Danio rerio: one gene and its partners. The protein of the gene in region 4 interacts with the protein of the main gene of each other region in a biochemical or structural test. Links are inferred from orthologs where the notes say so. Each region holds a gene or a part of one and is shown on either strand. Other genes may lie near its edges.

The links.
Region 1: the proteins of eps15 (region 4) and epn1a form a complex in vitro, tested with the Homo sapiens proteins (4 studies listed by BioGRID and IntAct, with this or other methods). The link is inferred for Danio rerio from reciprocal best matches to the Homo sapiens genes EPS15 and EPN1.
Region 2: the proteins of eps15 (region 4) and numb form a complex in vitro, tested with the Homo sapiens proteins (2 studies listed by BioGRID and IntAct, with this or other methods). The link is inferred for Danio rerio from reciprocal best matches to the Homo sapiens genes EPS15 and NUMB.
Region 3: the proteins of eps15 (region 4) and fcho1 form a complex in vitro, tested with the Homo sapiens proteins (2 studies listed by BioGRID). The link is inferred for Danio rerio from reciprocal best matches to the Homo sapiens genes EPS15 and FCHO1.

The regions. Positions count from the first base shown.
Region 1 is NC_133191.1:13,119,035-13,121,841, forward strand, and holds the end of epn1a (epsin-1), read left to right. Parts: intron 1-436; coding exon 437-688; intron 689-763; coding exon 764-1,233; 3' UTR 1,234-2,302; downstream 2,303-2,807. UniProt on the Homo sapiens protein: Binds to membranes enriched in phosphatidylinositol 4,5-bisphosphate (PtdIns(4,5)P2). Modifies membrane curvature and facilitates the formation of clathrin-coated invaginations. Regulates receptor-mediated endocytosis.
Region 2 is NC_133192.1:57,986,335-57,990,788, forward strand, and holds the start of numb (protein numb homolog), read right to left. Parts: upstream 2,963-4,454; 5' UTR 2,729-2,962; intron 1-2,728. UniProt on the Homo sapiens protein: Regulates clathrin-mediated receptor endocytosis. Plays a role in the process of neurogenesis.
Region 3 is NC_133183.1:21,921,196-21,924,935, forward strand, and holds part of fcho1 (f-BAR domain only protein 1), read left to right. Parts: intron 1-1,246; coding exon 1,247-1,431; intron 1,432-3,170; coding exon 3,171-3,195; intron 3,196-3,282; coding exon 3,283-3,339; intron 3,340-3,740. UniProt on the Homo sapiens protein: Functions in an early step of clathrin-mediated endocytosis. Has both a membrane binding/bending activity and the ability to recruit proteins essential to the formation of functional clathrin-coated pits.
Region 4 is NC_133183.1:18,301,546-18,305,285, forward strand, and holds part of eps15 (epidermal growth factor receptor substrate 15), read right to left. Parts: intron 3,612-3,740; coding exon 3,541-3,611; intron 3,432-3,540; coding exon 3,302-3,431; intron 2,368-3,301; coding exon 2,183-2,367; intron 1-2,182. UniProt on the Homo sapiens protein: Involved in cell growth regulation. May be involved in the regulation of mitogenic signals and control of cell proliferation. Involved in the internalization of ligand-inducible receptors of the receptor tyrosine kinase (RTK) type, in particular EGFR.

The DNA of each region.
Region 1 (2,807 bases), on a different chromosome or scaffold from region 4:
AGTATAATTCGTAAAAGCCAATTAAGCAAGGTAAAAAGTAACTCGCGTTACATTTTTCTGAAAGTAACTCAAATAATTTGATTACTTAATAATTTGCTTGTTACTTTTAAAAAGTAATATTATTACGCAATATTCGTTACTTATATCGTGTTACCCCAACACTGCCTGTGAGTGGCCTCTGTGCCCACAAGTACAACCTCAAAAGAAAGGCTAAAGTAGCTTAGCACTACTACTAAAGTAGCTCGGAGGCAGAATTTTGATCATATACATAATTATTCAGATCTTATTTCAGTTTTAGGTGCTTTGATACAGTTGAATCTATTGTGGGTAATAATGTAGGGTTTAGCAAAGGATTGTTTGGACTGTAACCCCACCTCAGTTAAACAAATATGCTGTTTGCCTGTAATTGTTTTTTGCCATTTCCCCCCACACACAGCAGATCCAGAGAGAAGAGGTTCCTCAGTGACATGTGATGCAGGAGGAGGTGGCAGCACAGGCTCTCCTGTGCCCTTTGACCTTTCATCGATTGGTAGCTCTTTGCCTGTTCGGAAAACACCAGAGTCATTTTTGGGGCCCAACGCAGCACTGGTGGATTTGGACTCGCTAGTATCATCAAAACCCAAACCAAAACAACCACCCCCACCAAGCATCTCCTCCACATCTAACAACCCCTTCCTCCAGACACAGGGTGTGTTTTTAAAACAATTGAATAGAAATTGTGTTTGTTTGCTTTTCCCTCTAACATCTTTCTTTCCTCCATTAGGGCCTTCCTCAACAGGTATGGGAGTTACCCCAGGAAGTACCATTTCAAGTAGAGGAGTATCTCCGACCCCACCTTCTGCTTCTAATCCTTTTGGCGCGACCCCAATGGCATCAATCTCCCCTCAACCCTCTTCACTTGGTCTGAACCAGCTGCGTACAAGCCCCGTTCCCCCAAATCCCATGCTGGGTCACATGCCTCCGCCAGTAGTAGGAATGGTTCAGCCAGGAATGGGCATGCCAGGAATGGGGGTCCCTATGGCGGCCCCCGGTTTAAGCATGGGAATGGGCATGCCTTACGGTGGAATATCCCCTATGGGTCCAGGAGGAAACCCCTTGCTGATGGGTCCAGGAGGACCTGCGCAGCCTTCACTGATTTTGGGCGGGCCATCAGGAGTGGGCGGAGTAATGGGAACAGGGGGATCCATGGGAGGTGGAACCACAGGCACAAGCACCAATCCTTTCCTTCTTTGAGAGATTTCACCAATCCCACTGGCCCTGTGCACTCAACAACCAATCCGAACCTGCCCTACCAACACAAACAGTTTGTGTTCAACAAAAACAAATGTGTGTTCATCTCTATATTTAATGAAAAGTAAAAACAACAACGTGTTCTTTTCTGTCACAAACAGCATTTCAGTTTTGTTTTGTTCTTTTATTTCCCCCGTTTTATTTGACAGTATTTGAAGTCTATTTATTTCCCTATTGAGTTTTGGTTTCTTTGACAGACATGGATGATTGGTGGGTTCATTCAATGAATGCAGGCTGTTAATATTGTTATATTATTAAGATGATTGTTGTTGCTCAGAATCAGGAATATGAAGAAATGGGAGGAGGAAAACAAGCCACTAATGAACTTAATCACACACCCTGATTTCTCCCCCCCCTCCTTTCATTGATGATGGAAGAGCCGGTGGCCCTCTAAAGAAAGAGCGCATGAAGGATGTCTGACGGACTGGCCCTGAATGGATTCAGAAGGATTCGGCTGTCCGTTTTATTCACAACTCTAGTAAAAATCATTTGATAGATGTATTACTTTTAATTTAATTTAATGTGTAATCTTGTGTAATTTATTTTAATCGTATGTCTCTGACTCCTGGAAACGATTAAACCAAGGAAAATCGCACTGGAAATTGCCATTGAAACAGATGCCTGCTCGGTCTCTGGCCTGCAACATTTCAGTCCATACCGCATGGTTCATACACACATGAGGAGTGAGTGTGTTTATGTGAGAGAGTGTTTGACATGTCCAGTGTTTCACTTGGCCCACTGCTTTGCTTTTGATGGGGTAATCAGCATTGTCTTTATAAGAGTCCTAATTTTCAGCCACTTATTTTTGCAGTCGTGAAAAAAAAGAAAGAAAATCGAAGCATTAATTCAACACCTGTTCACTTGAGAAACAGCGCTTGTCTTTGCATTTCACTTCAGCACCTTTGTCCTTCTACATTCACACAGAAAACAGGAAAGTGTTAACGCTTTTGAAACTGAAAATTGTCTGAATGATTTTGTGAAATCAGATTATAAAAATGGGGACTGAATGATACGATCCATGCTGTTATCCTTTATTTACTTTCAAATTATTTTATATATATAAATATAAATATATATGAACATTTTAGAGATATTTCTCTAATATTGGCTATGGTCAAAAAGTGTGTGGTGTTGACTGTGAACATTCACATAAAAAAAATAAAATGGAGAAAAAAAATCAAAAGGAATTTAAGAAATAAAATAAAAATCCACAAAACAAAATTGTCCAAGCCTATTTTGTTGCATTGATTTGCTTTAAAATCATTAGTATTTCCTTTAATTGTTCTTTTAATTAATTGCTATGTGACAACATGTAATAAGCAATAGAATTCATTATTTCATAATACACAAATATATTGTCATAATACACTCACAGGCTACCTTATTAGGTACACCTGTCCAACTGCTCGTTAATGCAAATTTCAAATCAGCCAATTATATGGCAGCAAGCATTTAGGCATCAAGATGATCTGCTGCAGTTCAAACCGAGCATCAGAATGGAGAAGAAAGATGATTTA
Region 2 (4,454 bases), on a different chromosome or scaffold from region 4:
ATGAACACAGTCAATGCGGTGGCTTTTGGAGGCATGAGACGCTTATTGGGAGCTCAGACAGATGCTCAAGACAGTTCTAAAGGAAATAATAACAGAAAAAGAAGAATACCAAAGCACTGTGATGACTGCGGCATTTTACAATCAGCAAAACAACATTTCAGATGCTTTACAACAGGGGTGTCAAACTCAATTCCTGGAGGGCCACAACCTTGCACAGTTTAGTTCCAACCCTGCTCCAACACACTTACCCGTAGGTTTCAAACAAGCCTGAAGGACTCAATTAGTTTGATCAGGTGTGTTTAATCAGTGTTGGAACTAAACTGTGCAGAGCTGCGGCCCTCCAGGAATTGAGTTTGACATTCCGGCTGTACAATGTGCTCAAAATGCTGCTGTGCCCATTAATGCATCCCATCACACACATCTTCATCAACTGTTCAAACTAAATCACATCACTTTACTGATGCCAATGCTGGAATTTAATTTGTAAATGTGTTTGCATCATAGTTTATGCACATTTTTACTTATTTCTTAAGTTGTTTATGCAGATTTGTAAATCTATGCACATCTTGGCATTTCCAAAATACAAAATGCACGTAAAAAAAAAAAAAAAATATATATATATATATATATATATATATACATATATATATATATATATATATATATATATATATATATATATATATACATATATATATATATATATACATATACATATATATATATATATATATATATATATATATATATATATATATATATATATATATATATATATATATATATATATATATATATACATATATATATATATATACATATATATATATATATATATATATATACATATATATATATATATATATATATATATATATATACATATATATATATATACATATATATATATACATACTTATCCAGCATATGTTTTACGCAGCGGATGCCCTTCCAGCTGCAACCCATCTCTGAGACTCATCCATTCACACTCATACACTATGGACAATTAAGCTTACCCAATTCCCCTATAGCGCATGTGTTTGGTCTGGGTGAAACCAGAGCACCCGGAGGAAATCCACACAAACACGGGAAGAACATGCAAACTCCACACAGAAATGCCAACTGACCCAGCCGAGGTTCAAACCAGCAACCTTGTTGCTGTGAGGTGAACGGTCTACCCACTGCGCCACCATGCTGCCCTAGACTATTTTTATTTTATTATATCTTATAAGTTTCTATAGTTTAAAAGCAAAAATATCAAAATGTACAGCCCTAAATGACTTTCTAAACAGTTTGTGCTCATTTAAGACATAATTAGACAAGATAAACACATCAAGACAGGCATTTTGACAGACTTTTAACCAAACCACAAAATGTCCATTTCACTCCTCACAAATGTTTGCACATTCATTTATTTCAAAGGTCCCTATATTGTTTATAGAGGTAAAGCTGGTTTTATATTCGGATATTCAGACGTTCTCCTTAATATAATTTCAGAAAAGTCTTCTTTGCAAATTGTAAATAGGGAAATCATATTAGCAGCAAATGACTATCAAAGTACAGCATTGTTCACAGTGAATCAGATAGTGTTAATGTTGTTTTGAAGTCATGCTTGCATGCTAATTCCGAATATTCAAAGTAACATGGTAAACAATATAGAGACTGTTAAAACGAACGAATGTGCGAACATAAAACCAACTTTATCTCTACATATTGTTGACCATGCGACACCAAATATTCGTTCTGAAATAGCATGCAAGTATGACTTCAAAACAACATAAGCACATTTTAACTGACCGTGAACAATGGTGTACTTTGACAGTCATTGGCTGCTTGTACGATTTCCCCATGCAGAAATTGCACCCTTTTCTGAAATTATATTATTTGGGAGAAGTCTGAATGTGCGAATATACTTAACCTCAATCTTCTGGTATCACCCATGATGCTGGTATGGGAAATATGTGACTCAGACTGATTTGTTGTTATGTAATCTTGAATATAATCATTACTGACTGTTCACTATTATCCAAAGCATCATTCTGGAGTCTGTGACTGCTACAAACACAGTTCACAGTCACTGGGATAAAGTTGTGTGACAGCAAATTGACATTTAAAAGAAACACAAATATGCATAAGACAAATGAAGTTGACATACCTCAAGAAACTTATGTCACCTTCTTCTGTCTTAAGTCGAATAACTGCAGAATATACCAGCTAACCATGCCCAGCAGATGAAAACACAGTCAAGTACACGTCAATAGCTAAATAATAGCTGATAACATAGAGATTTTCCTTTTCTCTGATGCCCATAAAGACAGAATACACGAGAGCTGGCCACTGTACTGCTGTCTGTAGTGTTTAAGGTTTGTGAATCAGTGGCAGGTGAGCTGCTAACCGGCTAGCCGCTAGCAACTCTTCTACAAACAAACCTAACCGCTAAACCGGTTAACCAAAGCCAAACCCTTGACATTAAACACACAATATCGTGGTCTCAATGTTTTATTCACACAAGTCATCAGCTTGAGTGAATTTATTAGGCTTGTCGCTGGCTAGCAGATGACTTAGCCGGATGCTACGTTTTGAACTCAAAGTCAAACAGTCAGCTAACTCGTTAGCTGGCTAACAACAACATCAACATCGGTCGTCATAATAACCAGCAGCTACATTACTATCACAGCATGATCGACACGATTCGTTCAGATGGACAGGTAGAGGTGAATCGACTCACCTGTTCAAGCGGCGGGTCAGACGAACTGCTCGTATCCACACAGATGTTAGTGAACCCGGCCAGGAAGGGTTCAGAGATTTACACGAGCGCTGAAATGAAATATTATATTCCCCAAAGTATGTCTCGGTCCTGCTGGAAATCCCGTGTGTCTGTATGTCTCCTTATGTGTGTGTGTCGTTCCTGAGTGACTGCTCGCCGGGGTTCAGCCGCCCGGATTCTGCGCTGGGCGGGGTCACAGACTGACACGAGCGCTCATTAATTATTCACAACACAAACAATCAGCATGGGAGGAGCTTCGACTTCACAACATTACTTATGCGTGAGTGTAGGAATCTAAGGAAAGTGTACGTCAAGCCTGTTGCTGTACAGGTTAAGTATAAATTATATTAAATATTTAATGAAATACTAAATTATATAAGAAATTAAAAGGGTAACAATAGAAATATGTGATAAATTCTATAGGCTAAATGAAATGTTCGCAGTTAATAAGAGGTTATAAACACTGCATAATCATTAAACAATAATCAAAATAGCATACAGTATTAACATTTGTAATTCATTGAATAATTGTATTATATTTGTTTCCCATACATGGGTTGCGGCTGGAAGGCCGCATAAATAAAGGGATTAAGCCGACAAGAAAATGAATTAATTAATTGCTGTCGCCTCACAGCAAGAAGGTCGCTGGTTTAAGCCTTAGCTGGGTCAGTTGGCGTTTCTGTGTGGAGTTTGCATGTTTTCTCCGTGTTGGCGTGGGTTTCCTCCGGGTGCTCCGGTTTCCCCCACAAGTCCAAAGATGTGGAGAATTGCAAAATTCTAAAAGGGACTAAGCCGAAAAGAAAATGAATGAATGAATGAACAATGGAAATATTGGATAAATTCTACCTATAGGCAAAATGAAAGACTCACAAATAATAAGAGGTTGTAAACACTGCATAATCATTAAACAACACTTAAAATAATATACAATATTAACATTTTTAATTTATTGAATAATTGTATTATATTTGATTATTATGATATCAGATTATCTATAATTTTTCCCAGTACTGGGTAAGTAAATTTTCCCAGTCTGGAAGAGCAAGGAAATGAATGAATACTTAAATGAATGGAAAATCTGTTAGCATAATGTACATATTGCGAACATGACACAACATAAATATAGGTTCAAGTGTATTTTATTATTGTGATTATAGTTATTATTAATAGTATGATTATTTCTCCTGTGTTGTTGTGGGTTTTAGGAAGGGTTTGAGGTGTGTTTTTTGATGCTGTTTATTCATTCATTCATTCATTCATTTTCTTTTTGGCTTAGTCCCTTTATTAATCAGGGGAATTAATAGCCAACTTATCTAGCATATGTTTTATACAGCGGATGCCCTTCCAGCTGCAACCCAACACTGGAAACATCCATACACACTTATTCACACTCATGAACGACCAATTTAGTTCATCAGTTCCCCTATAGCGCATGTGTTTGGACTGTGGGGGAAACCGGAGCACCCGGAGGAAACCCACACCAACATGGGGAGAACATGCAAACTCCACACAGAAACGCCAACTGACCCAGCTGGGGCTCAAACCAGCAACCTTCTTACTGTGAGGTGATCGTGTTACCCACTGCGCCACCATGACACCCCTGAAGCTGTTTAATTTTTTTAAATACTTTTAATATAATACTTTCCACTAAAATTCACTAAAAAACAAGGAAATTAAAAGTATTGGT
Region 3 (3,740 bases), about 3.6 Mb from region 4:
AACTAAATGATTAATTTAAACGTTGTAATAAATCAGACTTTTAAAATGTAAATACTGTCACTTGGCAGATGCACAAGACATCGGCGAGCGAATCAAGGCAAAGGCAGGAGCAGCTCGACTAGTGTATTCAGCTCTAAACTCCATTGTGTTATAAATATGATTGTGGATGTTTTTACTATAATAAGTTCATTATAAAACGTTAAAAATTAATCCACGTCATGTTTTATTACGTTTAAAGCAACGTCTTCTAGTTATTTTTAAAAAATATGCAAATTTAATTTAATACAGTTTGATATCTTTAACTTTGGCCCACAGCTCTCAATCAAGTTTGATTTTTGGCCCTTTATAAGACGAAGTTTGGGCACCTTACAAACTTTGCTCTCTTACTGGCTGTAGGTCATCGCTGATGTTATTTTCAGTCAGAACACATTTCACACGGCATGATTTGAGTCGTTGACAGCACCAGATATTTTGGATGCCAAATAGCTGACAGGCGTTGGCGACTCATCGGCAATTCTTTCAGATCGCGCCTTTGATAGTTCATACTGTGTGATTGTTACTCATGTGAACAGAGCACTGATTTGCCTGTGATTTCAGTCATTTGTCGACGATTTCTCAAAACCTGTCGGCGAGTCAAAATTGGGGCTAAAATCATGCAGTGTGAACTCGGAATTATTTGATTCTTAACCTGGCTTTTTGAGGATGTTTGAAGGCTGGAAATTCAACACCACAACAAATAGTTTTGTAAAAACAGATTTTCACTCACATACACATATACTGGTCTATAAGCTTTTTGAAAATATTTTTTTATCTGCCCTCCTTTTTACACAGTGTCAAAGGTATTACAGACACACAGAGGATGTTATTTTCGGGAAATGTGGTTTAGTAAAGCAGGATGTGAAACAGAGACTCTTACATTGTCTGATAATAAACAGTGATGGATACACAGCCCACTGCATCATTTCTATTTGTCTGATGAAGATGTCACTTATAGGCTCCCGATTAATTGACTTCATCATGAGCCATTTTAAAGCATATGACACTCTATAGGGTCTCTAAATACGATGTCTATTTCTACACTTGTTGTTTCTAGACTATTCATAACAGCTGTGTTTGTGTAAATGTTTACACTCGTGTCTATTTGTGTCTTAGCCAGTGTTTTCTAGTGTTCACCTGTCCCTCTTTGCATCTGTGTGTGAGTGCATGTGTGTGTCTTGATTTCCTCCTTAACACCGTTGCTCTCTACGTTGTGCTGCTGAGGAGAAGGAGGGAAACTTTTACTCCAGTGACTCGGATTTCGATGACGAAGAACCCAAGAAGTTTCACATCCAGATCCGCCCGGTCGCCAGCAGCAACCGCAGCAACTCAGCAGCCAATGAGCAGGAGCTGAAGGCCACAGTGGGGGCGTTGACTCTGCCCCCAAACAGAGTGGTAAGAGATTTAACAGCCCAAATCAAGAGTGATGCGAATCATTTATTCATTTTTACCGAAAATTGCTCAACATATCAGTGCTTAAGTTTACAAAATGTCTCATAAATAGAAGGGTACAGTATGTAACTGATTACAGTAAACCAAAAATAATTAAGATGCGAGAGTGTATAGGTGTTTCCCCTTACTGGGTTGCAGCCGGAAGGACATCCGCTGCGTAAAACATGTGGCGGAATAGTTGGCGGTTTATTCTGTTGTGGCAACACCTGATGAATAACAGACTGGGTTGAGGAAAAATGAATGAATATTGCACTCGTTGTTTGTGTAATATTGCTTATTATATTATATAATATAAATATGAAACAAAAACTGATATGGAACAAGTTGGTTAAGATTACATGTTGATTGAGATCACAGGACTTGTCGAATAATACTGTCATTGTCTCTGTAATCTCTCATTTTGGTTTCAGAATAAATGAATCATTTTACATATGCCAATTAATTTGTTTTCCACATAACAAGGCAAACAAACCACTCTAATGTGATTCTTTGGTTTCAGTTAGAGTGCACATGATGTTTCTGGCTCCTCTGTAAACAAAGACATGTTTACTAAGTTCTAGGCTCCTAAAATGAGCTCTTTTGAGGAAAAACAGATCACTGTGCTTGTCAGCGGTTGTGATCTTTACTTTGATAAGAACTTAAAATCTTGGTTGTGTTTTATGTCTATTTAATGCTGAAACCTTTAATTGAACAGCATTTTAAAACATAATTAAAGCAAAATGAAGTCATGGACCATTGTGATTTTATTTTATTTTATTTATTTATTTATTGTCACAAAATGTATGAATTTTATATTTACTTGATTATTTTTAATGTGTTTTAAAAGTTTTTTTTTATAATATTTTCTGCGTTTTTGTCATTCATTTACACAACTATTATTTATAGACATAAAAAGGATTTCAAGGGCAGGTTCTTAAAAATGACACTATTATTTTATTTATTGTAACCTTCAAAAGCAGAATTTATGAAAATAGTTATGTCACATGCATGCATATTACGTTCAGTCTATAATCACACACATGCACTTGACAACTAAAGCTTCAGTGGTGATGAATACTGTACTGTTTAATAGGCAATATACACAGCTGGTGTTTTTCCCATACCGATAAACTTCCAGTGAATAGTTAATGTGCCTTTTTTAAATTTAATACAGTTCCTTTTACAGCATAGATGTTGTAATATAATTAAATATATTATCAGTTAAATAGACCTTTTACATGCATACCCCGCCAGGATCAGCAGGATAGCACAGAAACTCAATTGAAAATATTGGGGTAAAATAAATGTTCATATTTTAAAGACATGGTGCGGAAAAATGTAATTTAATGCAGTGCTTCTTGCATATTCTAAGACCCACTTTACATAGCATATTAATCAGGCTGTAAAGATCTTTGATTTTTAAAGAAATAGACCTTAAACGTGGTGATTTTGTAACAGCATACATTTCACCAGTAGCGTTTGACCCAGGTTACTGAAAAATTAAAAGTCCTTCTGCGTATATCCTTTTTCAAAGTGACAACTACATGTCTGTCATATATAATAGAGCGCTTGTAGGTGTTTTTAGTTGTTTTGACAACATTGTCATCAATACAGTATTACTTCTTATTTTTAAAGTGTCACAGCAAATATGATGCATGGCTTTAACACAAACCTGTCATTGTTTGATTCATCTAATCCTGTAGGTGTCAGTAAAGAAGCAGCTCTCTCGTGAGTTCACTTTCATTCCTCTCTATGACCATATTCTGCATATATGTTAGTGGGGCTCTTTTTCATGCATATATTCTCCTGAAACAGGAAATTCGAGTTCAGCAGGTCGATCTGAAGGGGAAGGGGAAAGTGTTCCCCAGAGAGGTCAGTCACACGCCGCAGACGCTCATTTCTGCACTCCGACTGCTAGAGTTACACCATAAAGCATCAATTTTTCAGTACTCACGCATTGTTCCTGTGAGTAAGCCGTCTCCAATGGCCACTGTCTCCCACCTCCTCCTCTGTCCACATTAATAGATGTCAATATCCCACAACACACATCTCCGACTGACACCTTAATCACAGCAATCTGCCATCCAGCTGACCTGGGATCAGTATCCTAACTGCTCTGTCATTATTGCCTTAAATTGACAGACTGATCTCAGGTCCGCGGAATTGCTGTAATTACAGCCTCAGAATTGGTTCTATTTTTGCATCAGGGGTTTTTGACAGTAATAGCAAAAGTGGAAGTGTGTGCATGTGTGTATGTTGTTTTTGGAGAAAGA
Region 4 (3,740 bases):
GTATTCATCTTAAAGTGCATTTTAAAGGGAATATATAACCATATATACATACATACATACATGTGTGTGTATGTATATACAGTTAAAGTCAGAATTATTAGCCCCCCTTTGACTTTTTTTTTCTTTTGAAAATATTTCCCAAATGATGTTTAACAGAGGATAGAAATTTTCACGGTATGTCTGATAATATTTTTTCTTCTTGAGAAAGTCTTATTTGTTTTATTTTGGCTAGAATAAAAGCATATTTAAATATTTTGAAAACCATTTTTAAGGTAAAAATTATTAGCGCCTTTAAGATATATTTTGTTTCGATAGTCTACAGAACAAATCATCATCATATAATAACTTGCCTAATTACCCTAAGCTGCCTAGTAAACCTAATTAACCTAGTTAAGCTTTTAAATGTCACTTTGAGTTGTATAGAAATTTCTTGAAGAGTATCTAGTCAAATATTATTTACTGTCATCAGGGCAAAGATAAAATAAATCAGTTATTAGAAATGAATTATTAAAACTATTATGATAGAACTGTGTTGAAAAAAATCTTCCCTCCGTTAAACAGAAATTGGGGGAAAAATAAACAGGGGGGCTAATAATTCTAACTTCAACTGTATATGTATATAAAATCCAGTTGAAATTGAAGTAATAACAACCCTAATAACTGATTTATTTTATCTTTGTCATGATGACAGTAAATAATACTTTACTAGATATTTTTCAAGACACTTCTATACAGCTTAAAGTGACATTTAAAGGCTTAATTAGTTTTAATAGGCAGGTTAGTGTAATTAGGCAAGTTACTGTATACCGGTGGTTTGTTCTGTAGACTACCGAAAAAATATAACTTAAAAGAGAATTATCTACTGTAGAACTGAGCGTTCAAAAAAACCTGTCTCAAGTATAATGATGACATACAAAAAATCCCACAAAGATCAACATGCAAGAACTGTTACATTTAGAAACATAAAAGGAAAAATTACTAATGTGCTACAGCTACTGACACAGAAGGATGAGAGATACAAGATGTGTGCCATGATGCAATCCATAGAGCTTCACAGCTAACATCAGCTCATAAGCCTGCAGACACATGAGACTTGACGTAAAATAAAAAGTAATTTAACACCAATTTAAGAAATATGCTTAATGATTACTCATTTCATTGCTGATGTTTTAGTCTGATGTTTTATTCGTCTGATGCACTCATATGTCTAGGCCTGGATTGCTCATACGGCCCATCATGAACATGCAGGTATTTCACACAGAAGTAAAGGTGTAGACAACAATGGATCGAGAGAGTAATCACTACAGTTAGCTGGAAAGCACTTCAACACAAATCATGAAAACAAAAAGAAGTCATCTCTCTCTTGAAGTCTCTTCATTAGCAAAGAGTTGCGCCTTCATAAGGCTTAATTTATTGGATGCATCAACGTATAAAGAGAGCTCACATGGATAAGTTTTAATTTAAAAAATAATAATAATAATACAGAAAGGAGCCAACAAGTGCTGTTATAAGCTTAGCTGATTATTGAATTTGGCATATATAAAAACAAAACATACTGTATGTCTTCTAAAAATAAAAAAAGGTGGTGCATGAATGATGGGATGCAGATGGAACCAAGAACCAATGTGTGGGAAGTAGCAGCCCAACAGAACAAGTGGACACAGTGATTAGTTCGTGCAGTGCAAGGCAAGGCAAATCAGTGAATAAAAGTACGACAGGGCAATAAACGTGCAAGCCTCAACCAATGGTGGAGAACATGACAAAAGAGCACAGGGGGATGAATTGAAAACAGCCAATAGCAAGCAGCCCCACCTCTCCTTCCACAGCCAGTGAGAACTTATATGCGTGATGTTAGGAATACTGCGAAGTCATAACAATAGTAGGTTTAAATAACACTGGGGTTTTGTTTTAGTAGAAGCGTTAGCCTTGATTCAGTTTCGCTATTGGATAAATATTTTCATTACAAGCTCATATGTATTTACAAAAAATAAAATAAAAAACAGGAACAGTGACAGTTTTGTGGCTTTCACATAAAGCAAGAGTCGTCAAAATATTGGACGAGGAGCCTTCCGGGAAAACAAACGGGCTATGAGGGGTCGAGAGGTCAAGGCTGCTGCATTGCGCAGGTGAAATGTCAGGGTCACTACTGGGGGTCAGGAGAGGGAGAGGGGGAGGAGCTCACTTTGTCAAAGCTGGCGAATCGGTTGGGGTCGCACGGGGCTTGGTGGGGTGAGGAAGGGGCGAAGGGGTCTGGTACCGAGTCTTTAGCGGGAAGGGAGGAGAACTCTGCTGATCCCTGGGCCTTGAACAGACCGCGGCGGTGAAATGACTCGGACGACTCCGATCGGTGGATGTTGGACCGCTTACCTTTAACACATACACATAGAGACAACACAGCACTCAAATACAGGTGACGTTATGGAGCCTTGTGGTCCATTATTTTCTGAACTGAGCAATTAAGTCAATCTGGAATCTGGTTTGTTCAGATTAGACATGCACCAATCAACTGGCAAAAAATCAAATGAAGGAATTGGGTTTTTTTTGTATTTGTTTTTAGTTTTTTTTAGAAACTTTTGATCGACAACCTGCTGATTTGCGCTTTAAATAAGCCAGTCTCTGTTATGACTTGCATAAAATCGGCACTGCAATGATTTTAATGTTACAAGCCAAGCACATTAACATTAACAAACTGAACAAATATTTTCTTTGCAATACTTGATACTGCAATACTTAAATGACTGTGTGATGTTTTTAACATTTAATTAAATGCTGTACTAATATGACGTGTTTGGACGGTTTCTATCACAACTCATATTTAGGTGATTATTTGAGGCTTGATATGTTGAAAACAATGATAAGGATGTTTATTATTTTCATTTGTAAATACCTCTAAAAAGGCTATAGTAAACATCTATTTTTAATGTACTATGGGCAATACCTATTCCACCAACAGGCAGAATGAATTTACTGTTATTATGCATTTCTACTGTTCCTTATACATTTATGTTTTTAAGTAAAATCATTTCACAAAGCTAAAGTAAAATAGTATAATTTTACTTGCAATGCAATAAATTGAAAGTAAACAAATATATTTACAAAAAAACTAATATATATATATATTATATATAAGGAATAAAATGAGGATTTGGAGGAAAAAAAATGTAATAAAAATGAATAATGTAATAATTTGCATCAGAAAATTTGTTTGCAAAAGAAAAAAAAGATAAAAAAGAAAGAAATGGTCAACCCGAATCAGCCATGAAATAAAGGTCAGTGCATCAATAGATAAAATCCATTTTACCTGGGGGTGGAGGTGGAGGTCTGGTTGGGGTTCCTGTTTTGGGTGGTAATGCTGGCGGTACATCTGACTGGGTGTCCTCCTTGAATAAATTCTTGTTTGTACTGGAGTCAAATGGATCATTGCCATTAGACTGAAAGGCAAAATAAAAAGTTCAGTGGCTGCAGTCGGGTCCATTTAAATCATATGGTTGGCAACTCAGCTGAAATACTGGACTTCTGTTTTACGTTCAAGATCCTTACCTTTGCTAAGCTGCTGAAGTCTGCAAAACCTCCGCCAAAAGTCTCATTGCCAAATACTGCAGCAAAAGGGTCTGAAACAAAGTAAGTTACGCCAGTTTTTTATAGCTGATGAACTGAACTGACCACACGTAGGCAGCTGAAAACATTCGAAAACATCAGTCTTTTTTACATGAATAAATAATAAATGCTTTAAATATATG